Astyanax mexicanus: one gene and its partner. The protein of the gene in region 1 interacts with the protein of each later gene in a pairwise test. Links are inferred from orthologs where the notes say so. Each region holds a gene or a part of one and is shown in the gene's direction. Other genes may lie near its edges.

The links.
Region 2: the proteins of ptpn3 (region 1) and lmo1 interact in binary tests that used the Homo sapiens proteins (3 or more experiments, as listed by UniProt). The two-hybrid records come from large-scale screens. The link is inferred for Astyanax mexicanus from reciprocal best matches to the Homo sapiens genes PTPN3 and LMO1.

Annotation. Positions count from the first base shown.
Region 1 is NC_064408.1:109,496,382-109,513,452, forward strand, and holds the start of ptpn3 (tyrosine-protein phosphatase non-receptor type 3), read left to right. Parts: upstream 1-10,802; 5' UTR 10,803-11,050; intron 11,051-17,071.
Region 2 is NC_064423.1:41,020,718-41,037,531, reverse strand, and holds the start of lmo1 (rhombotin-1), read left to right. Parts: upstream 1-9,665; 5' UTR 9,666-11,236; coding exon 11,237-11,258; intron 11,259-16,814. UniProt on the Homo sapiens protein: May be involved in gene regulation within neural lineage cells potentially by direct DNA binding or by binding to other transcription factors.

The DNA of each region.
Region 1 (17,071 bases):
AACAGATTCAAAACTACTGTCTTTGACTTCCTATCTACAATGTGCTAGACAGAAGTCTCTAATAAAACAGACAGTGAGTGAGCATAGTGTTCAAAAACTCCAGCCTTTCCTGTAATATTGGGAGTTCTGCTGTCCTCACCACCTTCCCAAAGGCCCTGGGATCTCAGGCGGAACTGCAAGTGGTACTACAGGAGGTGTAGTAACTTATTACTTCATCTTTGGTTATTTTTGGTTCTAATGACTAATAGAGGAAGTACAGAACATAGTGAGGGTCAGTCTAAATCGGGACAGGCTGTCCCAAAGATTGTACCAGAATAAACTATGTGCAAGACCACACTAAAACACACTTTCTGTAGTATTGCAATCAGTGGTGTTGAGCTAAGACCTGTCTCGACATTTGAAGTTTCTGTATTTCCATAGGAAATGTGTATGAATCTGAATGCAAAACACCTGCAGTAAAACACCTGTAGTAAAACATGACATAAAAAGTATTTACCTCTGATGAATAGCACACCTCCACTTTCCCACAGCGTTCCAAGATTTTGAAATTTTAACAGTTTGTCCAAACACACTTCAGACTGGGTGACACTGGGCATAATTTGCCCCGATTAATCATTTTTTACACCGTTATCCAGGCTCAAAGAAGCTCCACCCCATAGACATTATATATATGTCTATGTTTGAATGTAATGTGATGGTATATGTAAGTGATTACAATATTAGAGGACATGCTCTACTACCCTGTTAGGCACCTCTATACAAGATGATATGGATACAAGATGAGACACAGTGGAGCATGGAGGTAAACAGGTTCCGTACAGAATCCCGTTGCACATTTACCCAAAGATGTTCAAGCTGGGTCTGTAGACCCTGCAAAATTGTAGGTTGCTGAAGCTGGCGTCCCAGCTGGTCCTATTATTCTGTCGATTGGAAGAGTCAAGGAAGTATTACAGTCTGGCAGCAACATTCTTGGTAAACTCCTTCTGTGTGTGGACGAGCATTGTCCTGCTTAAAAATGCCCGTTGGAGTCCCTGTCATGAGAGGCAGCATATGTCTGGCCACTGCAATAAAAACAAAAATGGGTGCCCCTACTTCACTAGTGTTGGATGCAACACCAAACTTCACCTCTGTGGAATTCCCTGTTGACTTCTGCACCTTAATATAGAAGCTGAGCAGTACTGCTTGTTACCTAAAAACTTTTTTTTCTGTGATGCTGCCAATAGTGGCTATAAAGGTCTGTTTACATATGACATAATCATGCATTTTGAATTTGGACAGTATCTGGATATACTGTACTTTGACTGGATTTGTTTAGACTAGTCATTAAACTGTGTCACCAGTATGACTTATTGAGATCTGCTTGTATTATTGCGCTTATAAGGCACACCAACATGTATATCACACCGGTTTTATGTACAGTAAACAAAGGTTTCTCATCAAAATTGTCCTGCTCATTGCCAGTTCGAATCCTGTTCATGTAGCTTGCCATTGGTTAGCGGAGTCTTGCTCTCTCTGGGTGGATAGATGGTGCTCTCTCCCCACAACCCCTTTAAGGGTGATGTCTGCAGCCCAGGGCGTCTGTGAGCTGATGTATCAGAACTGAGTTGCTGCGCTTTCCTCTGAGCACGCTATGATGCTACTCGGCAATGCTGCATTAGCAGCAGTTTGAAAAGAGGTGGTGATTGACTTTACATGTATCAGAGGAGGCATTTGCTAGTCTTCACCCTCCTGGTGTTGAGGTATCAGAAGCGATATGGGGAGTTCTAATGTGTGGGTTGGGTAATTGGCTGCGTAAATTGGAGAAAATGGAAAAATTATTTTAAAAACTGTCCACCTCTGGGAGACAATTAACAATTTAGGTAACAGTGAAGGTTCTAACACATAATGGTGGAAGATGGTTCTCTTAGTCCTGTAATGGCTGTATTTTAGAAAATGTGACAGACTATTTAAATTGCATTTTAACTCTGAATTACTGCTCTTATTGCTCTTACTTAAATAAGCACACATGTGCACACGCACACACACATCAATTTTACTGTGTCAGACTTCGTTTGCTTATGGTAAGCAGCATGTTTTGGGGTTCAAACTGGCGATCTAGATCTAAAAAAAGGCTTAGCACTCCTCCACGTCATTGCGGTGTATGATGGCTGATTTGCACATCAACATCAAGCAAGTTCCAATTAATCACCATATACAGGTTCTGGCTCTTCCTTTTTCCCTAGAGCGTGATGCTTTCTGTATGGCTGCAACTTACTTATATTTTAGATATAGGACTTTTGTAGCGCATGGGATGACTGTCTTTGTCTTGTAAACCATTGGTCACCCCAACTCTGTTTTCCCGCCATGATCTTGAGACCCCAGAAGCTACCCCAGCTTGCAGGGATTACGTGAAGGGGCTTTCTGATGCCTTTGAGTTCGTTTTTTCAGGCAGAGCAAGCGGCATGGATAGAATGGGATTGTTAGTGCCTGGAGGGCTCCCAAGGAGGCACTTGGATTTAATCTGCACTGCCTGACGGTGAAGTGCAAACACACAGATGATATTCTAGACCTTTAACAGCTAAGGTAGGGGTGCACTTTCAGCTCCCTTTTTCATTTGCTGTTCACGCTGAGGCATTATGGTGTATTGCTCAAGACTATGGCAAGCTTTTAGCTTCTCAGTTTCATGGCCATCGCCAAGAATGAATAGCCGAGTCCCCTCTCTCTCAGGCCTGTTTAAGAGCACTCTGACACATGTACCCCCAGTATCACAGAAAGTATCCAGGACACGATCATATTATACGGCATGGCTCTGAGGTGGTTTCCCTCGAGCAAGAAGGTGATAACCACCAGCCCTCCACTTTCAGGTGGGGCATAGTTTGGCACCACAAGGAGTGAATGGGAACAGGTCCAGACCAGTAGCCTTACAGGACATAAATCAGCCTAAATCAGACTTACAAACTACTCACTGCCACTGAGTCACTTCTTGCCAATTCCAAAACACCACCACGAAGAGATAAGGTCAGACACTGTGGTCAGAATTTTCACATAAATCATCAAATGACTTTAAAGCATTTAATCCACTAAACTAAGCTTCAATATCATGTAGGCTTAAAGGGATACACTGCCTTAATGGCACGACAAGATTACACAACAATACAAAGTGGCATGATAGGTTTGTTCACAATTAAAGTTGAAAAAAAAATACATAGAAATAAAACATTATTAAAGGTATGAAAAAAAGTATAACATGTAAATCACATAGTACAAGAACAACATGAGGATGTGTTTTAACTTTTTGCTCTGGAAATCACAGAATATGCGTCTGGGATCTCCTGCATCGAATGTGGATGTCATTTCTGCCATAGTTGATTTGTTGTTTCCCCCGACGGCACTGTGGGTGGTAATGCCTTCTATGACATATTCCTGGTACACATATGCCACTGTGTATTGAGGACCGTGCTTCAACTACTATCAGACCTCGCTTCGACACCAATAAGTCACGTTGCCTAGCCATGAGGATGCTGACCAGTGCTTAACCTTACTCACAAGATCACCTTACAACCAGATGTGGGTGTACCCAAGGAAACACCTTATGAACATGTTACTTACTGCTATCCCATGACTTCTTGCTCGTGAAAAGGAGCCACGGGCCAAGATTTCCCACCAATTTCCTTGGGCCGGGTCAGGTGGGCTCAAGTAGTTAATTAATGTTAATTAACATAATTCTGAACAGATTTTGCTTATTAAAACAACATGAAAATGTTTTTAAATAGCTCAGTTTTAACGCTCTACTTACTAAAAAAATGTCAGGTTTGCCCAATCTAAGCTCTAGTTCTGTCACAGTATGGGGTTGTGGTAATACACATCGTGATGTACATAAACTTACATTAAGATCTTGGAGCAACATATTCTGCCTCCTAGACTTTTAAGGGACATCTCTGCATGCTTCAACAAGACAATGCTAAACCACATGATGCACATATTATAAAGGCATGACTATTGGAGAAGAGGGTCCGGGTACTGGACTGGGCTGCCTACAGTCCTGTCTCCAGTAAAGAATATGTTAGGAATATTGAAACAAATGCAAAAACAACAACCCCATATTTTTACACACGTTAAAAAGTGTTTGCAGAAAAACACACACATATATAAACACACAGACTCACCTTCTGTTACATGCATTCAGACACACATGGTTTCTGTGAAGAACTTGATGACCAATAAAGTTTTATTGGTAAACATACACAAATACACACATATAAATATAAGCAAACATAAGTGCAGATATGGAATGTGTTGAAACATGCCTGTAGCCTGCATAAAACAGACAACCAGTGCTAAATAGGGACAAACATTAGGTAAAGTAATTTAGGTAGGACCAGCAGTTTACAGTAATTTTCATCCTTTTAAATAAGGAAATCCTGCTGTTGACATGCGTCCTGTAATCAACAAGTGCAAGGGAGGGGGGTGACTGTTATGCATTTGTCATTACATAAGAGTCAAAACCAAGACTGTTAGTAGTCAAGTTCATGTCAAAACCAAGTATTTTGTAAAAAAAAAAAAAAAAAACATCCAGAAATTATTGTGTGTGAACACAATTCATCCTACAACATTTGCTGTATAATGCAAGTTAAAGATGCATCATACAAAGAAGTCATTTGTCAACATTATCCAGAAGCGCTGCAGTGCTGCATTTGATTAATCTGAGCACAGGATCATATGGAGATATGGTTTCATCTTTGCATGATACAGCTTTAACTTTCATTTCTGGATTTCAGCACATTGAGATATGTTCATATTTCACCATATGGTATCCTATTTCTTGGAAAGTACACCAGACAAAACATGTAGTATCTTGGGTAATTTCGCCTGCTAATCAAGACAGTAAACAACGGTGACTTTGCTAATGTTGTGCCAATAGTTACAAAGGTTTCTGGAAGTGTTCCTGAGCCCATGCAGTAATTTCCATTACAGAATCAGAATCAGTACAGCCTGTTTTAATGCAGTGCCAAGGATCACCAGCATCCAATAGTGACTGTTAGCTTTGTTCCTTGCACATTTCCCCAGATTATCTTTTGATGATATAATGTACTGTAGATGGTGGGATATCCAAAGTCTTCACAATTTTTTTGTGTAATTTCCTGTAAGTTTAGAAAGTAGACAGTTTTTGGTGCCGATATTTGATTTGAGAAACTCTGTGTCTCTAAAATAATCTTTTTATAGTCACTTTTTATAGTCACTTTATAGTCATGTCAGTAGTTGCAAACTGCCCATATTGCAGGAATGGATATTTATTAATAAATAAAATGAAGTTTAAAAAAAAACATAACATATCTCACGGTTATATTGTCTGCAAATAAATTAAATTTTAAGTAAATATTTAAATGTAGTTAATGCATTTTTATTTTATTTACATTTTCCTAACTGTTACAACTTTTCTGATTCAGGGTTGTACAATGGATCATGTGGTAAAAGTACATTCACCTATTTAATGATATTACAAACATTTTTAAGCACCCGAGACCGAGACATTAGCAATTCCAAAGAGGTTGAGATGAGACTGAGACCACCCTTTTATGGTTATAAGACTGGTCTTAAGGTCGAGACCATTTAACACTATTATATGACATAATATAAATAAAAGTTGTTCACTAATCAATGACCACACATTTTTTTGAATGTACCGTACCTGCAGTATGATGGATACTTGGCCCATATAACCCTTACGACACCCTATTTACACCTTCCAAGAAACCTGTTACTCAAATCTGTCCCCATGCCAGAGAGAGAGTGAGATACAAGGTGACAAGAGTCTATATTTGACTGGAGGTTAAAGTACAGTCAGCACAGATTTGTGTCTAAATCAGAAAGACGATACCGGGTTATACTGACTCACACATACTCATCCACTCGCATTAAAATCTATCAAATTACACTATGTCTTTTCATTGGATGACTGTGCAGCCAATCAGTGTTACATAAAATACAAGCATAGTCATTTGGCCCCTCCCTTTTTTCCATTAACCATATTGAGTGCTCCTCACTTACACAGCCCCATTGGCCTCATTGGCCTACATACAGTTGTGGATGGGGGTTTATGTATAATTATCATGCTCTGGCAATACTGCATAGCAACATTCATTAAAAAAAGACTTATATACATATGTTTGTGGGATTTTCTAAAGTCAACTCATTATTGGTATTAAACAACTAAATTCAATTACATTAGTTGTTTTATAGGCAAAAACCCACCCTTTAAGCGTTGGCCTCATATTTAGCTAAATTTAACTGAATTTGCTTTAGCAATTCCACAATCACTTCTGATATGTGTTTGGGGTCACTGTACTGAACATCCAATTTTGTACGCATTTTTAATTTCTGGCTAATTCTTTTGCAGGAAGTCCACCTACATCATTATTCCATCCAGTTTTTGCAATGTACCCGTTTTACTGGCAGAAAAGCAGCCCCAGAACATGATGCACCCACCCCCATGCTTAACAGCTGAAACAGTGCTCCTGCATTTAAATGCCTCACCTTTACTCCAAGTAACAAAACAAGACATATGTTGTCTCACATGAATATTAAACATGTCTCAAGATGTTGATTGTGGAGCAGAGGTTTCCATTTTGGACAGCAGCCGCTTAGTCCACAGTGATGTAAATCCAAACTGAAAGTACACTTTGACATCGTTTTTTACATAGTCTTGCACAGTACAACTAGCAGTGAAATTTAATTTATTTACAAATAGCAACATCAACCAACCTATTACCACAACAACCACACAGTAACACTTAGAAGTTTCCTTGTGCACTTTTCTAGTTATATAGTTTTGTAGTTATATTATTTCAAACTCTGCTTTTTAAAACTATAAAGAACCAGAAAAAAACTTAAATACTGATCATACTAAACACCTAGCAACCACTTGGAACACACTTGATACATCTGACACAACGTCTAATACATTATACAACCTGATGCAATGTCTTAGTTTTTTTACCGCTATAAGTTGTAGAATCATTCTGTCCCAGAAAAAGAACAGAACAAAGAAATCACTAAATGTCCAACATTGTCATGACATTAATGAACATGATGAATGCATATATTTTTCAACTGCTGGCTAAAACTGCTGTTAAAAATTCATATAGAGACAACATAAAATTATTGTGACCATTAATTAATTAGTCATTTGGAATTAATGTTTTGAAGCTCGATTTTTTTGTAGGAGATAAGCAAAGGTGTCAAAAGTATTTACTTTCATTACTCACGTAGAAGTATAGACAGTAGGGTTTAAAAATACTTCTGTATTTTATTCCAGCAAAAGTGTAAAAGTACTGCTTTTAAAACTACTTAAAGTACGAAAGTAAAAGTAATGTAAGCCAAAAAAAAGCCATTAAGGACAAAAGCTTAGGTTGCGCCACAGGAGCCTATAGTGCACTATCCCCCCCTCCCCAAAACACATTTTATAAAAGCCATAATGACCATAATGTTATACTAAAATGTTAATGTTGTTAAATTTGGGATGTCTCCCTGGTTCAGCTGCATATGTACTCATTGAAAATGAATATATTTTAATACAATGCAAATATATTAAAGAAGCTGAGTCTCCGCCACAGATCATCTTCATACTAGACTACATACATTTGCTACGTTCTTGCTGAAATATGAACTGACATGATGTGGAGGTGTGATGGATCGTATACAAACCAATAGGGGGTCAGTATGGTTATGTTTATACTTCTCTACATCCAACCACAATCAGATACACTCTATCTAGATGGAAAGTTTTATCTCAATGAAAACAAGCTGAAATGAAATAGGAGTAACAAGGCTATTTTTTAAAATGTAAGGAGTAGACGTGAAAAAGCCGTCTGAAAAGTAAGGTAACAAAGTATTTGTACTTCATTACTTGACACTTCATTGCTTGTCATTTTGTGGGCAGATAAAAAAAATCACTACCTGGAAGTAAATGATGTGGGGTTGATTCTGCAGTTGGTCAGGTCTAGGTTCAGCAACAGTATCTACTGAAAGAATGAGGTCAGCTGACTACCTGAATATACTGAATATAGACCAGGTTATTCCATCAATGTATTTTTTTCTTCCCTGATGACACGGACATATTCCAAGATGACAATGCCAGGATTCATGGCTCGGAATTGTGGAAGATTGGTTTAGGGAGCATGAGATCATCATTTTCACACATGAATTGTTCACCATAGAGTCCAGACCTTAACCTCATTGAGAATCTTTGGGATGTGCTGGAGAAGGTTTTGTGCAGCGGTCAGACTCTACCATCATCAATGCTGCAAGATCTTGGTTAAAATTGATGCAACACTGGATTAAATAAATCTTGTGACATTGCAGAAGCTTATCAAAACAATACAAACATAAAGGTGATCCAATGAATTATTAGTGTGTGAGCTTTTTTATAAGGTTCTTCCTCCAGAGGGGGCATGACATGTAAAAGTTTAGGAAACACTGATTTAGCATTAGTAGTGCTGCAGTAGCACATCTGACCTACAGAGGCGCTATTAAGCCATGTCTAAACACCACATAAACGTAAACTGGTCAGTTGCACAATGTTATATGTTTAACACAAAAACGTATTTTTAGCTAAAACAAACAAACAAATAACACATAGAAACTATCTATAATACTTGCCCTCAACATTCGTGCTGATGACTGTCTCCTAAGCCATCAAATAAGCCAGTAAAGCTGGGAAAACACATTCCTTGCTGGTAGCTGTTTCAACATAAAGGAAGGACTCGTTTCGCTGGGCTGAGTAACGCAGGTCATGCTGCTGCTGTTGTTGCTGCTGGTCGTGCTTATCTCCAGGAACGCGGGGGTGTATTTTTATTGACTCAAGGGAGGCAGCGCCCTGACTGCTGTGCTCGGGCACGCGCACCTGTGCGCGTCCCCGCGGACACAGTGTACGGACACTCCTCGCTCTGGCTCACCGTTTATTGTAACGAGAAAGCGAGAAAAAAACTGAGAAGGCCTAACCATCCAGTGTGACCTGATTAACATAAAGCTCTAACAAAAAAATAAGAGACCATATCAGTTTCTAAATCAGTTTCTCTGATAGGTATATATTTGAGTAAAATGAACACTGTTGTTTTATTCTATAAAATACTGACAACATTGCTCCCAAATCCCAAAGAAAAATATTGTCATTTACAGGATTTATTAGTAGAAATGAGAAATGGCTGAAATAACAAAAAAAGATGCAAAAAACAAAACAAGTACAAGTTGAATAACCCTGCTTTTTAGTCACAGTTTCATACATTTTGGCATTTACTCCTCCATCAGTCTTACACACTGCTTTTGGATAACTTTATGCCACTCCTGGTGCAAAAATTCAAGCCGTTCAGCTTGGTTTGATGGCTTGTGAGCATCCATCTTCTTCTTGATTTAAATTCCAGAGGTTTTCAATTTGGTAATATTAAAGTGTTTAAGTGATCTCTTATTTTTTTCTAGAGCTGTATGTTGGTATTATTAACAGTAGCAGTCATAAGTTTAGAGACACCTCTTCTCGTTCAATGTCTTTTTTATGATCTTGTACATTGTAAATTTATTACTGAAGGCATTAAACCTATACAGAAACAAAAAACAGAATATATTTTATACTTTAGATTCTACTAAATAGCACATTTAGCTTTGAGAACAGATCTGCATACTCTTGGTATTTTAATCTCAGTGTCTTCATGAGGTAGAGTCACCTGAAATATTTTTTTTTCTTAAAGGAGTTCCTGGAGATGCTAAACAATAGTTACTGCTTTTCCTTCATTTATTAAAATAATGCTACAGCCTGTCATTCAGCCATTGTTTAAACTGGAGTAAGAGAAGCTAGATGTTGGGCCACTGGTCGGTCTCACTCCTACTGGGATCTTACAGAAAGTCTATAGCTTTTTTGTTGTTGTAAAAAGGAGGCTGGCTTTACCTAAAACTCTGATCCTAGAATCGCCCCTGACCCCTGAACTATTGTTCCGGATGGCAACACCTTAGAACTTTCCTTGCACACTTTTCTAGTTATAAAGTTTTCTAGTTCCATTCTTTCGAACTCTGCGGTAAAAATACAAAGAACCAATAATAAAACTTTAAAACTGTTGTGAATTGTATATTTGTATTATGTATGCAAAATAAAAAAGAAAAAGAAAAGAAATACGAATGTGTAATGAATATAAAGCTGGAAATAGCCATTGTTTCTGATTTACAGTGGTGTGTACAACTTTGGGCACCCCTGATATTTTTTTTATGATTTTCCTTATAAATCATTGGTTGTTTGGATCAGCAGTTTTATATAAATATATAATATAGCAGATGAGCATAGTGATATTTGTGTAGTGAAATTAAGTTTATAGGATTTACAGAAAGTGTGCAATAATAATTATTTAAACAAAATGCATAAATTTGGGCACCCTTGTGGTTTTATTGATTTTAATACTTTTAGAACTAATTATTGGAACACAAAATGGAAATGTGGAATTGTTGGGCAAATTATTGGTATAACAAAAAATAAAAAGTTAAATAATCTTTCCTTTCAGTAGTAATAATTTGATGTTTTAATATATGTTAAGTTAATGGTTTATTGCCCATTACGTTACTATTGTTAATATTGTTTTTTTTTTTTTTTTTTTTTTTTTTTTTTAACATATCTGGGCTTACAGTGTAGTAACACTAGTGTTAGCTAGTAGCTGAGTTAGCAGACCGACCGTGGGTCAAAAACTATAATATAATATATACATAGGTAGACCACACCATCACGCGCGTGCACGTTGCTGGTTCAGACTAGTTAGGTACACAGCTGTAAACGCGCGCGCGACTCACCTCACATATCAATGAAGCGAGCGCTGAGCGGGAGCGCGCCTGGTCCGCGGCCACGACGAAGCTGAACTCCCGAACTCCCGAAGGAGCCCGAAGGAGCAGGACCGAAAATAAAGACAACATTTTCCCGGAAGTTTACCGACACCTGCGGCCGCGGAGCTCGGACATGGAGACGCTTCAGCTTTCAACACCTCAGTAACAGCAGGAGAGGAGCAGCCCGACTGACAGAACGGGGGAAACCCAGCCTCAGGTAACTTAGTTAACCCAGCGAGGGGGCTAGTTAACTAGCGTTGCTAGTGGTAACTAACTAGCCTAGCTAACCTAGCCTAGCGATAACTAGCGTTAACTGTTTCAACCGGTCCAAACTGAACTAAACCGAACTAAACAGCCCAGTTCTAGCTTATTTAAGCCAGTTAAGAGACTGAATTATACAACTTTTAACTTTTTAACTACAACCGAGCTCTAATTAAACCGTTAACGTTAAGCGTGTTCTGGTTTAAAGCGCTTTAAAGGGACCAGAGAGTAAATAAATCAGTGTTTAACGTTAGCTAGCTTTAGGTTAGCTCTTACTAACTAAGTTATTATCGTTATCCTAGCCGTGTATTAACTTAGCAGAGCAGGGAAGAGCCCAGCCCTCCTCGGCAACAGCTGTCTGATCCGGAGCGTGTGACAGGCAGCAGCGAAAAGGTGAAAAATATGAAAGATTTGTCAGCTTTTTATCGACTAGCTAATTAACTTTACTAAACTTGAAACCATCAGGCAACGTAAGTGGGAAGTATAACCTTAGTAGCCTGAGCAGTCTGATCAGACTGAAAATGAAACCTACTGCTGCCTCATTTCTCTCTTTCCCATGAGAGTTCTGGCTTGCAGTCTTGCGCTGTATGTGGGAAGCCACAAAATATTTCCCTTTTCACTCCATTAGCTAACTGCAGAGCCCCTAAGCTGACATCATGTTAAAAAAATAATGCGTGGCCATGACTTATTAAGGCATGGGAACGATATCCTTATGCGTAAGAATAAGATAATTAAGCAAGAGACTTATTAAGGCGTGGGAACTAGTTAATTAAGTTGTGTCCAGAGAATAATAAGCTTGCTTTTCTGTAAATTAAAGGAGAAGGTGTAAAATTTACTTGTGGTGTAGTAAAACATGATAGAGTACTGACCATTGTTTAATAGCCCACATCTGCTCTCCCCTCTCCCAGCTTTCCAAGATCCAGTATTTTGTGCTTTTTGCCCAGCACTCTTTACAAGAAGCTTATTAAAACCACCCGGAGATTAGGCTGTGCTAAGAGTTGGAAACAGTGTTTTTAATAAGCTTCTTGTTAATTTTTAAAGTTATAAATGCCTCCTTTTAAGTGTCAGAGCTCTGTGGATTCTACTATTGAGGTGTGGAGTAGGGGTGGGCGATATGGCCCTAAAATAATATCACGATATTTCATGATATTTTCGCGATAACGATACTCTTGGTGATATGACAAAACACTTAAAAATATTATTTTTAAAAATACACTATACACTGCAAGAAAATAAAAAAATATTTTATTATTACATACAATATAATACTGCACACCCCTAAGTGAGATATTAAAAAATACAAGAATTCTATCAGATTTGTAGCAGAAGTCAATGATCCAGAATGTCATGATACTAATAATAATGCACTCCAAATATCTCCATATATCCAGGATTAAAGTAAAATAAATGATACTGGACAGATATAAACTGTCTCTAGTAGATATATAATGGGAAATGGGATGGGTGATATGGCACGAAATTGTAGGGTATAATATCGTTCTCGATATTTAAAAGATTTGACGATATTATCGTGTACGATATGATATGGCACACCCCTAGTGTGGAGCCTGGATAACAGTGTAAAAGTGCTTTATCTGGATGCCCCAAAGCTCCCGTTGTAAAGAGTGCTTTTTGCCATTTCTGGGTCTCAGAAAGCTGCGGGAGAGCAGTGGTGGGCTATTCAGTAAAGGTTAGTAATCTTTATCATGTTTTACTACAACCAAAGTCAATTTTACACCAGAGTTCTCCTTTATTGCCTATGAGTCTCTTGCAGTGAGACAGGGCATAATTCTAAGTAAAGGACTTTTTTAATTCTCATACAAAAAGCTGACGGGCTTAGATGTAGACAGTATGCAGATTAATTTACCTTCCTTAAGCAGTTATATTGTGCACAACCCTTGAGAGCTGCTTGCTTTGTTAGCTGTAAAACAAAAGGAGGCCCCGCCTTAATGGCTATGATTTAATTAACTCATTGCCACACCTTAATAAGTTGTGGCTACACATTAGGATCTCATTCCCACGCCTTAATAAGTCATGGCCATGCATTATTTTTTTAACATGATTTTACCTTAGGGGCTCCATAGCTATAATTCAAATATGTATTCTGGTTATAATTTTAAATAGAGAAAAAAAACTGACATTGCCATATTTTGTTGAGCAGTAATTTGCAGTGATCGGCATCTAATAAAAATAATAGAGCTGTCAACATTAACATGTTAATGCATGCAATTAATCTAAAAAACTTTAACGCGTTAATATTTTGAACTAAATGAGTCATGTGACAAAATTGACAGAGCCTGGTGACGCATTTTATTTAGTGATATAACACAGCAACACTTACTGTTCAGTTAATAAGGTAGATTATATTTTATTTGTGGCGAAGTTTATTCTCTTTCTCTCTCCATCTCTCTCTCTCTGTATTTCTCTCTCACACACACAAACACACACAGCTGATGACAGGTTTCCTCTTTTCAAGCTGTTGAGTATGGAATGTATAATACAGTAAAAAAGGATCTAGTCTGCCAGGTGAATATCACACTACAGCATTGTTTTTGTTCCCGTCCCAAAAATACTGTTCAGTACCAATATGATAAATACAAATATCTTTTAAGGGATTGACACCAATGATACATATGTTTTAAGTGTTTCTACTGCTGTTTATTTTATTCACAATTCAATACACATTATCAAAAGCTTAGTCTTAAGCAAGAAAATGTGATTGTAATTGTGATTAATCACTGAATTATATTGTGGTTAACTTATTATTTATTTTAATCGATTGGCACACACACCTTCCCATTCAATGTGTTTTTTTCTCAATTTATTTATTTAATGTGTTAAATACACTGTATATTGATATTAAAGATATGGAATTATGTAGTAAACAAACAAAAAAATGTTTGGACTTCGCCTCCTATTGTTCAGCACCTCCAGGAACTCCTTCAAGACACTGAGAAAACTATTCCAGATGACTCTTCCTCGTGAAGACACTGAGATTAAAATACCAAGAGTGTGCAGATCTGCCAGTAAAGCAGAATGTGGTAAACATATTCTGGATTGTTTAACACTTTTAAATGTGTTCCTATGTAGTTTAAAGGTCTTCAATATAAAATGTACAGTCTAGCTAATGACATTGAATGTGTGTCCAAACTTTCGACTAGTACTGTATTTAAATTATGATGGGCAGATATAACAGGCATCTGGTACACACTACCTCTGCTAGTGAATGTTGAGCCTTTGAGAAAGTTGATGTTTGTCTAGCTGGAATTTTCTCTTTTGAGAAGATCATGGGTTTTGTTTCTGTGACTAATTAGAAATGTGAAAATGTTTTACAGCTAGTTAGGCATTTGCTTACTATGTACATAAATATGTATGCTATATTACACAATCAGAAGGATTTCAGTTGAGTACCGTAATGTGTGATTTATTTCACATTCAAGGTTTAAAACCAGGTGTAAGGATGATCTTGACTAATCTTAGCACAGCCTGCCTTTTACTACTGTGAGTGTTAAACTTCTTGCTTATTCAGTAGGGATTTAATGAGCGTACACTTAAACTATATGCCCAAATGTTATACACAGGAATGTTTGTTACAGATAAACATAAAACTATTGGCACCATGTATAATACCAGGCATTGGCTAGTAGAGGTGTGCCAAAAAATCGATTCACATAAGAATCTTGATTCTCATTTACTACGATTCAGAATCGATTTAAAATGTCCCAAAATCGATTCTGAGGGGCGGGTTTTAGACTGATTTTGGGCTGGGTATTTTTGTTGGACCTGGCAACCCTGGGGATAGCGCTTGTCCCTTTGGAGATCTTCCAGACACACACAGAGCGTAGGTGTTTGAGAATCACCGGTAAGATGGCAGAACAAGCACTATATTACCTTAGATTAACGTGTAGTTTCAATGTTTTATGGCAGAATGCTTCATAACAAGCATAAAAAAGATCGCTAGTAGTTAGTTTCAGTAACTGTTAGCTAGCTAACTAGCTAACTTTCCAGTTCCACCTTAAATAACGCTACAGGTGGCAGCGGGCTGCAGCATTTAAGGCGGAACGGAAAAATAACAATAAGCTAATCAGAGCTAATTTCAGCTCCTCATCACAGAGGAATTAAGGAATGGACAATATGAATTAATTTCTCCACCTCCTGCCCCCTTTCTGAAGAAATACAACCACCTTAAATTAACTAGTTAATCAGCAGCTGCTCCTGAACTTTAGCGCTCCACTGCTATCATCACATCAGCCCAGCAGCGTCACCTACACACCACCGCTAGTAGCCTGGTAATAAAGCAGTGTTATTTATTTATGTATTTATTGTTCATTAACGTCATTGTGATATCCCAGTGATTCCTCTGTCACTGAGGACCCACATTCCTGCACATTTTATTGTTTTTGTAACACATTACTTGCTCCAGGACCAGTGTATATTATGGAGGGTTTTTTTTCAATACGATTCATAAGCCAGAAGCAGAAATATTTATTATAATTCAAATCGTTTTGAATCAAAAATCGATTTTGAATCGAATCGTGGCCCCCAAAATCGGAATCGAATCGAATCGTGAGATAGTAATCGATTCCCACCCCTATTGGCTAGAGGGTTATAAAGCCCCCCAGTATTTAGCTGTGATGCACTGCAACTGTGTTCTCTGGAGTGATGGTAATTTTTGGGATGAGCTGGGGATGAGGTGGGTTGTAGCTCACCCATACTGGTGTTGCTGAATGTTATTCAATTTTTACAGCAAAGCTCCAAAATCTAGTTAAAAATTTTCTGAACAGTAGAGAAAGTTACTCCAACAAAAGTAATTTAATACCCTGGATTCGGAAGAAAAGATGAAAGATGCTGAGTCCCAAAACGTTTGTCCATATACAACCCCTGGCAAAAAGTATGGAATCACCAGTCTTGGATGAGCACTCCTTCAGACATTTCATTCTGTAAAACAAACTCTGATCAAAAACATGATACAATAATAAGGTCATTCCAAAGTGCAACTTGTTGGCTTTCAGGAACACTCAAAGAAATGAAGAAAAAACATTGTGGAAGTCAGTGAATGTTACTTTTATTGACCAACCACAGGGAAAAAAATATGGAATCACTCAATTCTGAGGAAAAAAGTATGGAATCATGAAAAACAGATAAACAAAAGATGATTCAAAATACATCACTAGTATTTAGTTGCACCACCTTTGGCTTTTATAACGGCTTTCAGTCTCTGAGGCATGGACTTGATGAGTGACAAACAGTATTCTGCATCAATTTGGTGCCAACTCTCTTTGATAGCAGTTGCCAGATCAGCTTTGCAGGTCGGAGCCTTCTTGTGGACCATTTTTTTCAATTTCCACCACAGGTTTTCAATTGGGTTGAGATCTGGACTATTTGCAGGCCATGACATTGACTGAATGTGTCTTTCTCCAAGGAATGCCTTCACTGTTTTTGCCCTATGGCACGATGCATTGTCATCTTGGAAAATTATTTCATTATCTCCAAACATCTGTTCAATTGAAGGGATGAGAAAACTGTCCAAAATGTCAATGTAAACTTGTGCATTGATAGAAGAATTAACCACAGTCATCTCCCCAGTGCCTTTGCCTGACATGCAGCCCCATATCATCAAGGACTGTGGAAATTTGGTTGTTTTCTTCAGACAGGCCTCATCATAAATCTCACTGGAACGGCACCAAACAAAAGTTCCAGCATCATCACCTTGTCCAATGCAGATTCTTGACTCATCACTGAAGATAACTTTCATCCAGTCATCCACAGTCCATGATTGCCTCTCCTTAGCCAACTGCAGTCTTGTTCTTTTATGTTTAGGTGTCAATGATGGTTTTCTTTTAGCTTTCCTGTATTGAAATCCCATTTCCTTTAGGCGATTTCTTACGGTTCGGTCACATACATTGGCTCCAGCTTCTTCCCATTTATGCTTCATCTGTTTAGTTGTACTTTTTCGGTTTTCAAGACAAATGGCCTT
Region 2 (16,814 bases), on another chromosome or scaffold:
ACACTCGTTTTTTTGTCCTCTCTCTTTTTCTCGTCCTGTCCCACTGCATGAGGAACATAAAAAGGTTCTATCACTAGTACTGAACATGCACTTTCCAGCCACTAGGAGGTGCTGCACCTATACAACACTTTCAAACAGAAAAACAAACAAATAAACAAACAACTGCCCAACAAATGGTCAAAAAGTGTGTAAAACACATCTAATGACCTGCATATAATGAATATAATGACTTACTATAATGAACTACCTCCTCAAGACACACTTAGTACACTGTAAGTCTGGACAAGTTAAAGTTATAATAAAAGTTATGGTGCCTAAACTGTAAGTGTGTGTAAATAATGTCTGTCTTGTTCTGTAAGTCTAAAACTAAAACTAAAACATGCATTTGAAATAATTATAGATTAGATTGGAGCCTACACCATCATCAAGGCCAGGGAGATAATCACACTATATAATCTATATCTATCTAGATTATATAATGTATATATATATATTTTTTTTTTTTCATGACTATATACATTGTAGATTCTCACTGAAGCATCAAAACTATGAATGAACACATGTGGAGTTTTATGTACTTAATAAATAATGAGCTGAACCTCCACAGTCACCGGACCTGAACCCAATCCAGATTTGAGGTTTGGGGTGAGCTGGAGCACAGAGTGAAGAAGGCAAAGGAGCAACAAGTGCTAATAAACACCTCTGGGAACTCCTTCCTTCCTTCAAGACTGTTGGAAAACTTTTCATTTCAGGTGGCCACCTCTTAAAGCTCATTGAGAGAATGATGCCAAGAGTGTGCAAAGCAGTAATCAGAGCAAAGGGTGGCTATTTTCTATTTTGAAGAAACTAGAATATAAAATATGTTTTTTCAGTTATTTCACTTTTTTTGTTAAGCACATAAAACTCCACATGTGTTCATTCATAGTTTTGATGCTTCAGTGAGAATCTACAATGTAAACAGTCATGAAAATAAAGAAAACACACTGAAAAAGAGAAGGTGTGTCCAAACTTTTGGCCTGTACTGTATATAAAGTGTACCTAAGGTATTCTTGGGCATCGACTACTACATTTTGACTCAGTTTATCTACAGTATATGTATTTTTTATATTGTTTTACCACCGTAAAAGTTCTTGAGCTTGTCTTAATATAATATATCATATATATCATATATCATATATTAAATAAAAACATACAAGTCCAAGAAAATACTACAGAATAGTACTATATCAAATAATGCTGTAAGAATAAGTGCTTGAGCTTGCCTTACTATACATATACATATACATAAAAAAAATCTACTTAAAAATATATATTTAAGATTCTCCATGAGACAGAAATAAAATAAATGAAATTACATTTAAAAAATTACTGATTTCTACCATACCAAATAATGCTCCAAAATCCTGAGGACTTTTAAGCTTTTTATTGATGTTTGATGAAACCATAATTTATTTCATTTACCCAGATAGAATCAAAACTAATTATGGGACCATTCAAATTGTGCCCCCCCCCCCTTAATCATAATATATCATCTATAAGTGTACCTGAGGTAATCACGAGGGATCGACTACACACTGACGGTGAATATCAGAAACAGAAGGTTGGACTCTATTTTGACGTAGTGTTCTTAATCTTGTCCTATTATAATATAATAAATAAATAAAAATAATACAAATAAAATAAAAAGTGTTAATGTTCTGCATCAACTGGAAATTAAATAAATAAAAACACACGGAAATACTATTGATTTTTAATGTACCTAATAATGCTCCAAAAATTGCTCCAAGCACGATGACTTTTAATGGATGTTTGATGAAATCATTATTTATCTTCTTTAGCCATATATCTTTGATATACAATCTACAAGTGTACCTAAAGTAATCCTGGGGGATCGACTACACACTGAAGGTTATTAAATCAGAAATGGAAGTACTTCTGTTTTCTTCTGTACCAAATATTGAAATGCTCAATTAATGCTTAAAAAATGAAGACTTTTAAAGCATTTTATTGACATTTGATAAAACATTTATTTATTTTATTTAGCCAGATATGATCAAAACAGATTAAAAAGTGCACAAGAAGCTTATTAAAAAACACTGTTTACATCCCATAATGCTTATTTCAGCTCCAGGAGCCGCCATCACTGTACTGCTAATGACACAGACATATATATATACATAGACTGCCACATAACGTGGCAGCCTATGTAGAGTCTATGTATATATATATATGTCTATGTCATTATCAGTACAGTGATGGCGGCGCTCGGAGCTGAAATAAGCATTATGGGATGTAAACAGTGTTTTTTTTAAAAGCTGCTGCACTATTAAAGTTATTAATGACTCGTTTTAAATGTCAGGGCTCTCCAGATTCTAGCAAGAAGGTGTTGAGCTACTTTGAGCTGGATAACGGTGGAAAAAACGATTTATCTGCAGGGGCAAATAAATAGTTGCATGCCCGATACGGCCGTTGTGCAGAATGTTGGGCAAAAAAGCACAAAATTACTTGATCTCAGGAAGCTGCAGGAGAGCGGAGGTGTGCTTTCAACAAAGGTAAGAACTTTTTATCATGTTTTAATACAACAAAATCAATTTTACACCAGAGCTCTCCTTTATATCATAGTATAGGTAACGGTGAATATCAAAAACTGAACACTACTGATTTCTACTGTACCGAATAATGAAATGCTGAAATAAAGATTCAAGAATTAGACTTTTAAAGCATTTTGATGTATTGATGTTTGATAAAAACATCATCTATCATTTACCTAATTTAGCCAGATATCATCAAAACAGATTATGAGGCCCTTCAAATGGTACAAACTTAATCATAATGTATAATCTACAAATTCACCTAATGTAATCACGGGGGATCAACTACACACTGACGGTAAATATCAGAAATGGAAGCTTGAACTCTATATTGACTTACTATAATTTAATATAAATAAAAATAAATAAAACAATTAAATAAAAAATATATATGAAATTAAATTTATGAAATTTAACTATACCAAATAATGATCCAAAATGTTCTATTTATCTCATTTAGCCATATGTTTTCAAAACAGATAATGACACCCTTTAAATAGTACCACCTTAATCATAATATATAATCTACAAGTGTACCTTACCCACAGAAATTACAGGGGATCGACTACACACTGATGGTGAATATCAGACGTGGATTACTACTAATTTATACTACACCAAATACAATTTCAACAATGAGGACTTTTAAAGTTTTTTTTTGATGTTTGATAAAACCCATCATTTATCATTTATCTAATTTAGCCAGATATCATCAAAACAGATTATGAGGCCCTTAAACAGTACTGCTCCCTCCCTCCGCTCCACCTCCACCCGGATCACCCCCTCCGCCGCCTCCACCTCCCCGTACATAAAGGAGCACTTTCAGTTGAACGCAGTCAGAAAAAGAGCATGTTTGACATTGGTTTATAATCAGCTTAAGCATTATGAAATATAGGAGGGGCTGGGGTTCATCCTCTCGCCGAGTCCTCCATCCGCTGATCGTTTGCCGGAGGATGAATGAGAACACAACACCGTCGCTCCATCTGATTAGGTGGGGTTAATTACTGCACCGCGGTTTTGTGCCGGCTGCGTTTGAGCCGCGGCGGTAAATAGATGGGGCTATCAGAAATGAATATTAATTAACTTCCAGGCGTACGGCCTGTTCTACTGTCTCCAGGTCACCATCGCATCGGATGGGATTGATTTGGGGTACAGTAGGGGTGTGATCTTGTCTCGTTTTTGGGATTGGTTTGTGGTACAGTAGGGGTGTGATCTTGTCTCGTTTTTGGGATTGGTTTGGGGTACAGTAGGGGTTTGATCTTGGCCTGTTCTGGGATTGGTTTGGGGTACAGCAGGGGTGTGATCTTGGCCTGTTCTGGGGTTGGTTTGGGGTACAGCAGGGGTGTGATCTTGGCCTGTTCTTGTTCTGTGATTGGTTTGGGGTGCAGTAGGGGTGTGATCTTGGCTCATTCTTGAATTTTTTGGGGTACAGTAGGGGTGTGATTTTGGCTTGTTCTGGGATTGGTTTGTGGTACAGTAGGGGTGTGATCTTGTCTCGTTTTTGGGATTGGTTTGGGGTACAGTAGGAGTGTGACCTTGGTCTGTTTTGGGATTGGTTTGGCGTACAGAAGGGGTGTGATCTTGGCCTGTTCTGGGATTGGTATGAGGTACAGCAGGGGTGTAATCTAGGCCCGTTCTCATAATGCAGAAACAATAGAGAGTTCCATTGTTGGTTGACCATAGGAAAAAGGCATGATCCGTATCACAGCACCGGGCTGAGAGTAATTTATATTCCCAGTAAGATCCGGACGGGTAGGGGGTCAGTGCTATGGAGCTCCAGATGACATGACCTTGATGCTGAGGACCAATGATGAACACCGGTTCAGGCTTATAGCTCACCTGTCACTCAGGAATGACAGTGGCTACCTGGTGAATTAGATGGCCAGCAGTGGTCAGTCCTGGAGATGGATGTGGACATTGACCTGGCCAGTCTTTCCTTATTAAATGTAATATATCAATTTATCATGTTGCTTCATTGCATTTAACAAGTACTGCCTATTAAAGTATACCCAATGTCTGTGTCAATTTAGCTTAGAAACAGTGCTTTAATTTTAATTTGATATGGTGGTATTTTATTTAATAGGACATTTCTTAACCTTTCAAAAAATGTTTTTATTGTGGTCACTTTGGTACAAGGATACTCACAATATGCAAATCAAACAAGCACTAATACTGCACTATCAAAACGCTATCAAAAGCACATTGCTCAGCCCAATCTGCTCTCCCTTCTGCCCTGCCCCTAAACCCATACATCACTCAGCGCCCCTCCAAAATTACCCCTTTCTTTTTTTCAATTAAATTTTATTCAAACCTTCAAAGCACCAATCTCTTAGATTTTGTTGTTTTAAATTGAAACCAGTGGTAAAATATTCTTATAAATAATGGCATTAGTGTCATTTATGCTGTGCCTTTACCACATGTTAGCGTTAGCTTGTGTAGCTAAATAGTAAAACACAAACAAGCTAGCACATGCTTAACTGTGATAGAAGCACAAAAATTTGAACTCAGAACTATTAGAAAGCTCTTACATCTCCCTCGTCTGATGACTCGCAACAGACAGTAGGTACAGATTCCTCACTCAGACGAAGTCTACTGGCTAATCCTGCTGTGTACTGTCTGCAATGAAGAATAATTTCATTCCAACTACCCTTTCATTATATTCACAGAAAACAGCAGAATGAGTTTTTTGGTGTTTGGAGAGTTTATTATGTTTATAGGGGCAGTAGAGACCTAAGTGGAAATCCAAAAACATATAAAAAGTGTTTTTAAAAGGGTGTAATTGCATCAGTGTGCTATTATATTATCAGTATGTCAGTGGAAAACATGTATTGTCCTAAAATTACAATAATATCAGTTTTTTGGACAATATATAGATATTATCCTGATATGAATAGTAATTGCGTTACTGCGCTATTATATCAATAAATAAATATATATTTGGCCAATAAAACATAGTTAATTATATTATTGACATAAAATGCAGAGTGTCTTAAAATGACAAAAATATTAATTATTGCGATTATTTATTTGACAATATAGTTTTCAATAATGATTAGCTTATCTACGTTTATTTTTTATAATAACTTTATATTTTTATATTTTATATTTGCATTCAGATCTTTGAGAGCTTTCACAGCATTCAGCTTCTGATGGCACAGAGCCACGGTCTGTCCGCTGCGCTGTGATTGGATTAATTGTGTGTCATTCACTTCAGCTAGAGGTCAGCAAACATACATTCCACTCAAAAAGCGTTCAATCTTTCAGACTCCAGAAATGAAAAGTCAGACTTGTCAGAGAGAAACATCAAACAATTGATTACAGTCCAGCCCTGTATCCCTGTGAGCTCTCAACATCCTCACATTTAATATATATATATATATATATATATATATATATATATATATTTATATACAATATATACAACATACACTATATACTATATACACTATATACTATATACACTATATGCTACATACACTATATGCTACATACACTATATACTACATACACTATATACTACATACACTATATACTACATACACTATATACACTATATACTACATACACTATATACACTATATACTACATACACTATATACACTATATACTACATACACTATATACTACATACACTATATACACTATATACTACATACACTATATACACTATATACTATATACACTATATGCTACATACACTATATACTACATACACTATATACTACATACACTATATACACTATATACTACATACACTATATACTACATACACTATATACACTATATACTACATACACTATATACACTATATACTATATACACTATATGCTACATACACTATATACTACATACACTATATACTACATACACTATATACTATATACACTATATACTACATACACTATATGCTACATACACTATATACACTATATACTACATACACTATATACTACATACACTATATACACTATATACTATATACACTATATACTACATACACTATATACTATATACACTATATACTACATACACTATATACTATATACACTATATGCTACATACACTATATGCTACATACACTATATGCTACATACACTATATGCTACATACACTATATACTACATACACCATATACTCTACACTATATATTATATACACATCCTGCAGCATATTTACTACACATACACTATATACTACATACACTATATACTATATACACTATATACTATATACACTATATACTACATACACTATATACTATATACACTATATGCTACATACACTATATACTACATACACTATATACTACATACACCATATACTACATACACCATATACTATATACACATCCTGCTGCACATTTACTATATATATACACTATATACAATATATGCACTATATACTCTATAATATATAATCTACACTATACATTATATACACTATACACAATATAATCTACACTATATACTCTACACTATATACAATAAGTACTAAACACTATATGCTCTACACTATATACAATAAGTACTATAAACACTATATGCTCTACACTATATACAATAAGTACTATAAACACTATATGCTCTACACTATATACAATAAGTACTATAAACACTATATGCTCTACACTATATACAATAAGTACTATAAACACTATATGCTCTACACTATATACAATAAGTACTATAAACACTATATGCTATAAATACTATAAACACTATATACTCTACAGTATATAGTTTATACACATCCTGCTGCACACTTACTATATACATTATACACACTATATGACACACAGTCCAAGCTGCTTGAGGTCTAGTGGGAAATTTCCACCAGTCAGTGATGGTTTATGGAGATGCAGATTTACATACATACCAATTAATCTTATATAATATTCTAATTTTCTGAGACACTGATTTTTAGGTTTTCATTGGCTGTAATTCATAATCATCAACAATAAAATAAGTAAAGGCTTAAAATAGATCACTCTGTGTTTAATACATCTATATAATATATGAGTTTCACGTTTTAAACTGAATTACTGAAATGTAGTAACTTTTCAATAATACTCTCATTTTTTGAGATGCACTAGTATTTTGTAATTAGTATTAATACTACAGGCAGAATGCTGGTCAGATCCTCCACAGCGCTGTAAATAACAGATTGTACAGCAGATCTTCTCCTGCTGACAAACAGAGCACTTGGGAAACCTTCTGCATCTCCTCTATTAGTTAATCTTGGTCGGATCTCCTCTGTAATTGGTTAAAAGTCTCCTCGGGGCAGGGAAAAAGCACCGCCGCTTAAACAGCAACACTTTCATCACAGACAAAGCAGCTAACAATCATATTAGCGGAGCATGCTATCTCCCCGCTAATCAAAACACCGCCCATCTGCTGGACCTGTCTGTCTCGACCAATGACTGTTCATCAGAGTGAATATATCTATCTATCTATCTATCTATATATATATATATATATATATATATATATATATATATATATATATGTATTACATTAAACTAAAAGTCTACTTCATAGTATTCTATTTATTTAAAATACATTATATTGTACTTATGTACTTTTGTATATATATGCACTTTTCATATATTTTAAGTAAGTACATAAATCTGTTAGTATATTTATATTATACGTTAGACATTTCTCAATATGTTCTAAGGACAATTAAGTATATATTTTTTCACCAGGGTTTCTATTTGTTTGCTGGGTGGTGTTGGTTAGCTTAGCTAGCTAGCAGGCTAGCTGCACCTGTGGTTAGGTTGGAGTAGCTTGCTTTACCTTAGCATTAGCTTAGCATTAGCTTACACTGAAAAAAAATTATGAGTAAAATTTACTTAAAAAAAGTTTCACAACTTTCTTCATTTGCTTTTTTTAAGTAAATTTAATTTCAGATAAATTTAAGTAGCTTCAACTCGGTTTTAAGACTTAAATGTTACACAGAGTAAATAAGTGAACTGAACTTCAAGTCAATCCTTTCTTTTAGTAAACTTTACTTAATTTATCTTTGCTGAATAAATCATTTATTTTAGTAAACTTTATTAATTTATCTTTGCTGAACCAATCATTTCTTCATTAACTCGGTAAAACACCAGCATTACAATAAATACAAACAGCAATTTTACAAAAAGCAAAAGTTTTCCTTAAAACAACAAAACATCTCCTAATCTCTCCTCCTCATCTGAGTTTAATAGAGTTATTTCTAGTTCTCATCATATTAATCAACAACGTGGTAAATTACTGGTAAATGTGGTAAATCAGGTGAGCTGCTGACGGAACTGAACATAATATACACATGCTGGCTGAGGAGCATCCAGGAGAAATCTGGATCTCTACACTTTGTTCTTCAGCTCGGCTCACAGGATATAACATACTTACAACTTAGTTAAAAATGAGAATTCCTTAATAAGTTTTACTGTATTTATGTTTATTTGCATCTGTTTTAAATCATATGTGGTGCTTTTTTCAGGTAAAAACACTCGTATTGCTGAGATAAATGAATTAGTGTCATTTGCTTTGGTGCCTAAAGCTTTTGCACAGTACTGTATATTATTTTTTTTTAATCATTTTTTGTCTTTTTGCTCTGTTTGCTTGTTTAGTGAAGGAATCTTAGGTCTCACTATTTATCTCTCTCTCTTTCTCTCTATGCTCATTCACTCACTCACTCCCAGCCCCTCCCCTCACCATGATGTTGTGCACCCCCCACATAAACACTCAGCGTAGACTACTCACTCACTTACTCAGGCGCACGCTCAGGCGCGCGAGCACACACACACACACACGCACTCGCGCGCACGCACACACACACTTTCCCTTAGCTGTGCTTTTGTGTTTTGTCAGAATTAATGAGAAAAGTTCCCTTGCCCTAGGGGTAATTAGTGTCCTTGGAGTTAAATAAGCTAATACTTAGACACCTCTGGCACAAGCAATTATGTTTGTGTATTGAATAATTGATTCAAAGAGGGAGGGGGATGGAGGGGGGCGCTAATCAGATCTGAGCATAATGAATTGATTTAATTAACAGGGGAATCCGCGGGTCTCTGGGAAGAGAGAGAACGAGAGCGAGCGAGCGCGCGCGTTTATTCAGCGAGCCCGAGCGCATAAATTGGGGGCGCGAGCACGCGTGCGTTTAGCGAACCGCCGTCCGCTTCAACACTGCTCTGGATTTCTGCTGCTTTTGCTTCTTCTTGTTCTTCTTCTGCTGCTGATAATGATGATGATGCTTCTTATTCGTATTCATATTCGTATTATTCAGATTTCTTAGCTAAGACGTAGTATAATAATATAATAATAATCGCGTAGTCGCGCGAGCTGCGGAAACGCTCGGGAACTGCTCGGAGCCGCGTGTAGAAGTACGGGTTTGTTTAAAAACAACAACAACAAAAACAAAAAAAAAAAAAAAAAAAAACAACTACAAAAGAATAGCGTAATTACGTTATATACAGGCTTATTCTCTATTCGTTATTCTTTATTTTGTTTTTAAAGCGCATATTTTCTTCTTTATTCTTCTTTATTCGGGTTTGTTTTTGCGTTGTTTATTTTTTGTTGCATTTTCTTCGCAAGGCTGATTCCTTTTTAAATACATATATTTTTTGTCCTCTTTTTAAGCACTTTTCTTTCATTTTTCGCGATTTCTTCCCGTTTTTTTTGTTATATATTTTTTTCGCGTTTGTTTTGTTTTGCGTTTTTTACGCTATTCTCTCCTCCTCTCCTCTCTTCTTTAACGACTGTGTCCTCGTGTTTTCATTCGCGTTGTTTTTCTACTGATTCTTTTTTCCTCTCTTTTCTTCTTTTACGACTTATTTCCCCAAAGAGGATTTATTTATTTTTCTTCTTCTTCTTCTTCTTCTTCTTCTTCTTTATTTTCTCTTTTATTTCCCTATCTATTTCTCCGTTACGCTACGCTGTTACGCTGTTCTCTGCGCTGGCTACACTGTGCGCACGCGCCCTCCTCCTCCTCCTCCTCCTCCTCCTCCTCTTCCCCTTAACGTTACTTATCTCATTCTATTTATTCATTACTCGCGCTCGCGCTCACCACTCTCTCGCAGTTGGTGGAGCCTATAGAGAGAGCGCGCGCGGATGTGAGCGTGCGGACGCGCGTGATACATTGTGGCGACAAACAGCGTAACGAAACAACGTTGACGGCGACCCGTAAAACACGTAGCGTAACTCGCGCGCGCTCCAGAGGAGGAGGATAATAATACGGAGCGATCCGCCGCCGAGAAGAGCCGAACCGAGCCGAGCAAAGCCGAACCGAACCGGGGAGAGAGAGCACCGAGAACACGGAGAGAACGCACGGAGGGAACGCACACCGAGCGCGAGCGTGCGTAGTACACGTATAGTGCAAGCGTACGGACGGACGAACGAAAAAACGAACGAGCGAGCAAGCGAACGGACGGACGGAGTAACGGGCAAGGCGCTCGTGTTTGGCGGTCGGTCGGTCGCGTGTCCACCGCGCGAGCCTCCACACATGGGTGTCCGCCACTGTAAATAAGGCACCGCCACTCCGAGCCTGCGTTTTTTGACGCCCCCCGTTAACGCATCATTCAGTCCCGCGCGCCGCCGGAGCCCCGCAGCCTGCTGGAGCCGAGAACGGAGCGCCTGGAGCCGGACCCCTCGTTCCTCAGGACGATGGTGCTAGACAAGGAGGAGGGTGAGTACCGGTACTCTACTGGACCACTGGGACTATACTAGCACTATAGTAGGACCATAGTAGCATAAGTAGGGCGAGCGTGCTCCGGTACTGAAGTGCTTTAAGTGCTTTAAATGCTTAAGTGGTTGATACGCGGTATAATACATGGTAACACATAGTACCGTTTCCGTGCTTTCACCGCGGGAGATCGCCGTTTTTCTCGGTCTTCCCCTCGAGCCGGAGCGCTTAGTCTACTTTTGTCGGACTTTTTGAAGCTTGAGGAGATGCTGGAGAACCTACCTCACCCCGCTGCTGTTGGATAGAACCAATAGAAAGAACAGAATCTGGTCTAATCTATTTTATTACGATTAAAACATCAAAACAGCTTTTAAAAACAGCATTAAAAGCTCGACTTTGACTTATACTGGCTTCAAGTCAAGCCTTAGAAGTTTGCATACTTATAATGCCATGTTTTCTGTTTAAGAGTTGTTTTAATCGGAAACGTGAAAAGTGTTCATGTGCAATAATTAAAAAATATTGTAAATACGGTAATATAATATTTATAAGTCATGACAGTACTTAGAAATAGTACCGTGAGTACCGTTTTCCATGCTTTCACCTCGGGACATCACCGTTTTGCAAGCCTCAGAAGTTTGAGTTACTTATGGGCTACAACTTTATATCTCATAAGTACTTTGTAGATTGCAAGTCGTAGGCTAAGACAGGATTTCTGTACAAGTGTTGTTTTTGTTTAATGTTTCTACTAAAGCCCTATCTGGACGGGATTAGTTTTTTCGGGGGGACGTCTGTAAAAATATATTTCTAACTTCTACTCAGTGATAAAACTCCTGCATCCGGACTGCAATTGAAAAAAACAGGAGGACCAGTGAGATTTTAGGCTTTTTTCTCGGTCACATGACATCACGGTGTTCAGTAGCTCCTCCATTTCCACTCGCTGTTGTGTTTTTTTTACGTGAATCTCCGTGGAAACACAGCACCCAAAGTGTAACTACGGTGCGCGGCATTGGACAAATAGCTAAATAGCTGAAGTGCTGAAGGGGTTGCTGTGGTGTTATGACTCATAAGTACGTAGTACACGGTTCTACATAGTACATAGTACTCAGGGAAAAAACTATAGTTTTTTCCCTGAGAGCTGGGCTTGGTTGCACCAAGCTTGCGTAACTAAAGTTACAACTTCTAAAGTCATTTCCTAATTTCCTAGTTACTACTAGTTATTAAATACTACAAAACCTGTACAGTTATGCTGCCTTCAAGTCGTGTTCAAGTTGGAAAGATCACTCGCTAAATGCCGCTAATGTTACTCTATGTTTATTTTTTTTGTTTGCATTTTTTCCACCCAAATTATCTCACTAAGAGTTGTTAGTGTTGTGTCTTGATGTAGACGGTGTTGTGGCAGTGTTGCGTGTTTGCTGGGTGGCTGTTGAATGATCCTGATTCTGCCTTTCTGCTGTAAAAGAAACACAACTACACAAATACAGAGTACAGATGTAGTGTTTAAGAACACAAGCAACACATCTGCCACATTAAAAAAACTTTACAAGCCCAAAAACAAAGTCTAAGGACGTCTTACAGAGCCAGGAATTCGCTAACATGAAGCCTCTCTGACCCAAACCGCTCTATTCCTGTCATCTTTCTTTAAATATATATATACAGCTCTGAAAAAGAAAAAATGAAGAGAGCACTTCAGTTTCTGAATCGCTTTCTCTGATTTTGCTATTTATAGGTTTATGTTTGAGTAAAATGAACATTGTTGTTTTATTCTATAAACTACAGACAACATTTCTCCCAAATTCCAAATAGAAATATTGTTATTTAGAGCATTTAGAGCATTAATATGCAGACAAATGAAAAATGTCTGAAATAACAAAAAATGTTTTTAATCACAGTTTTTTTTCATGCATCTTGGCATCATGTTCTCCTCCACCAGTCTTACACACTGCTTTTGGATAACTTTATGCTGCTTTACTCCTGGTGCAGAAATTCAAGCAGTTCAGTTTGGTGGTTTGATGGTTTGTGATCATCCATCTTCCTCTTGATTATATTCTAGAGATTTTCAATTTGGTAAAATCAAAGAAACTCATAAATTTTAAGTGATTTATTTTTTTTCCACAGCTGTAAAGAGCTTGGGACAATGCTTTTAAAACTTTTTTTAAACTTTCGAGAAAATATTCAGCACTACTTTAAGACAACGTTCTAGCAAATAGTTTTAATTGCAAGAGCTTGCAATCACGCTTTTAGAGTCTTTTCAAGATTAAATATTTAGGATCACCTTACGCAGACCTTGTAATTACGCTTTTTGGACGTAACTGTAAATGTTGAACAGTGTTATTGTGTATTTTCTGGATACCTGATGAGCTGCTAAATAGTCTTAGTTCTGCATTTCTACTGGACTTGGGGCTTTTCTTAACGCAGCTCAGAACTCTGCCCCGAAATGGGCTATTCTTACCATCTTTCTTCAAATATATACATATATATATATATATATATATATATATATATATATATATATATATTTCACACTGTTATACATATATAAATATCCCAATACATAGTCAATATACCATCTTATTTCTGTATTATTGGAGGAGGTTGAGGCTACGATTTTACAGCATTTTGTGATTTTTGGAAAACAATATGTAAAACAACCTTAAAACAATGCTGTATTATCTGTGCTGTGATTGAATCTAAATTAAGATTATGTAACTATTTTGTTCAGCAGTGTTGTAGTTAGGAGGTTGGGATCATGCTTTTAGAGAATCTTAAGACTTAAAAACTAAAACTACATACATATGAACCTCTACCCACACACATATATATATATATATATATATATATATATATGTATATATAGGTACGCCAATACCTAATCAATGCACCACATTATTGCTGCATTTTTGTAATCAAAAGGATGGGATCGTGCTTTTAGAGTCTTTTTATTCCATCTAAAAACATCCAGTACAAACATACGAACCTCCACCTCCTTAACACAGCGCAGAACTCGCTATTAAAAAGCCCCTCTGACCCGAAATGGGCTATTCTTACAATCTTTCTTTAAATATTTACATATATATATATTCCTTTCACATACTGTAAATTTGTATAAATACTCAAATACATAGTCAATATACCACCTTGCAACTTTACTGCAATAAAGAGGTTGGGAATCTTTAGACTTAAAAACTAAAACTACATACATATGAACCTCTACCCACATGTATATATATGTATATGTATAGGTACGCCAATACATAGTGAAGGCACCACATTATTGCTGCATTATTGTAATAAAAAGGTTGGGATCATGCTTTTAGAGAATCTTAAGACTTAAAAACTAAAACTACATACATATGAACCTCTACCCACATATATATGTATAAATACGCCAAGACATAGTGAAGGCACCACATTATTTCTGCATTATTGTAATAAAAAGAATGGGACCATGCTTTTAGAGAATCTTAAGACTTAAAAAACTAAAACTACATACATACGAACCTCTACCGTATAGGTACGCCAATACATAGTCAATGCACCACATTATTGCTGCATTATTGTAATAAAAAGGTTGGGATCGTGCTTTTAGAGTCTTTTGGTCCGTCCAAAAACTTCCGGTACAAACATACGAACCTCCACCTCAGTCCCACGTTGGGGGGCTTCCTTACCACAGCGCAGAACTCGCTATTAAAAAGCCCCTCTGACCCGAAATGGGCTATTCTTACAATCTATCTTTAAATATTTACATATATATACCTTACACATACTGTATATATGTATAAATACTCAAATACATGGTCAGTATACCACATTGCAACTTTACTCTAATAAAGAGTTTGGGATCATGCTTTTAGAGAATCTCAAGACTTAAAAACTAAAACTACATACATATGAACCTCTACCCACATATATATGTATAGGTACGCCAATACATAGTCAATGCACCACATTATTGCTGCATTATTGTGATAAAAAGGATGGGATCGTGCTTTAAGAGTCTTCTGGTCCATCTAAAAACTTCCGGTACAAACATACGAACCTCCACCTCAGTCCCACGTTGGGGGGCTTCCTTACCACAGCGCAGAACTCGCTATTAAAAAGCCCCTCTGACCCGAAATGGGCTATTCTTGTCATCTTTCATGGAATATTGTCATCGCCCACATGGTAGCTAGGGGCCCTTTTCCCTCCAAGTAATGGCTTTCATTTCAGAGCCATTATTTATGTTTGAAAATGGATATTTCATATCTCTTTGAGCCGAGCATCCTTTCACTAACCCATTTGAAAACCAATAAAGGGATGGCCATAGAGGCATAAATTGGTCTGTCTGGCTGAATACATGTTGTGCTAATGTACTCGGATTAACTCAACTGTAAATTGTCTCCTCTGGACGTCCGTCTTGCTAAAAGTTGGCTATATGATTCATGATTGGGATTGCTTTTAACAGCTATTGGCTAAGCAATATGGGAAATGTACAAGGTGATGCAAATGGCATTAGCGGGGAGAGGATGCACAGGAGCATGTAATGCAGTCAATACTACATTAACTACTGATGCCCAATTACAGGAGCTGGGAGAGTGGCTTTTAGGAGCATTAGGACTTGCAGAAAAGCTTAGATCACCTGCTGCTCATTGCCTAAAAGCTTCACCCTTTGCATGCTGGGGCCGAGCGGCTGCGCCCGCGTTTTGGCAGCCGGCTGGCGAGGAGAGCCGAGCTGCTTTCAGAGGATGGAGGATGCGGGATCCTGCGGCTCGGCCTAACCTGGATACTGAAATACCAACTCCATTAAAACCGGAGAGACCGGAAACACTATAATAACATTAATAATAATCTCCATACTGATGTGTTTTACCCTGCAGAACAACAAACAGTAATAAATATATCACTATATTTCAAAATACCGCTATATTACAATGCTAATGCTAATGCTAATAATAATAATAATAATAATAATAATAATAATATTTAGTCATTTTCACAATATACTATATACATAAAACAAGACACAGTATCGTAAAAATTGGTGTCAGAAGTGGTTAAAACCATAATAACTCTACACTGCTGTGTTTTACTCTGCAGAATCAACAAATAGTAATAAATATACCATAATATTTCAAAATACTGCTATATTACAACGCTAATGCTAATAATAATAACTCTATACTGCTGTGTTTTACTCTGCGAAATCAACAAATAGTAGTAAAAATACCACAATATTACAATATACCACTTTATTACAATATACCACTTTATTACAATGCTAATATTAACAATATTAATAATAATAACTCTGCACTGCTGTGTTTCACTCTGCGGAATTAACAAATAGCAGTAGATATACCACAATATTTCAATATACCGCTATATTACAATGCTAATATTAATAATAATAATAATAATAATAATAATAATAATAATAATAATAATATTTAAAGTCATTTTCACAATATACTATATACAGGAAAAAAGACACAGTAACGTAAAAATTGGTGTCAGAAGTGGTTAAAAACCATAATAACTCTACACTGCTGTGTTTTACTCTGCAGAATCAACAAATAGTAATAA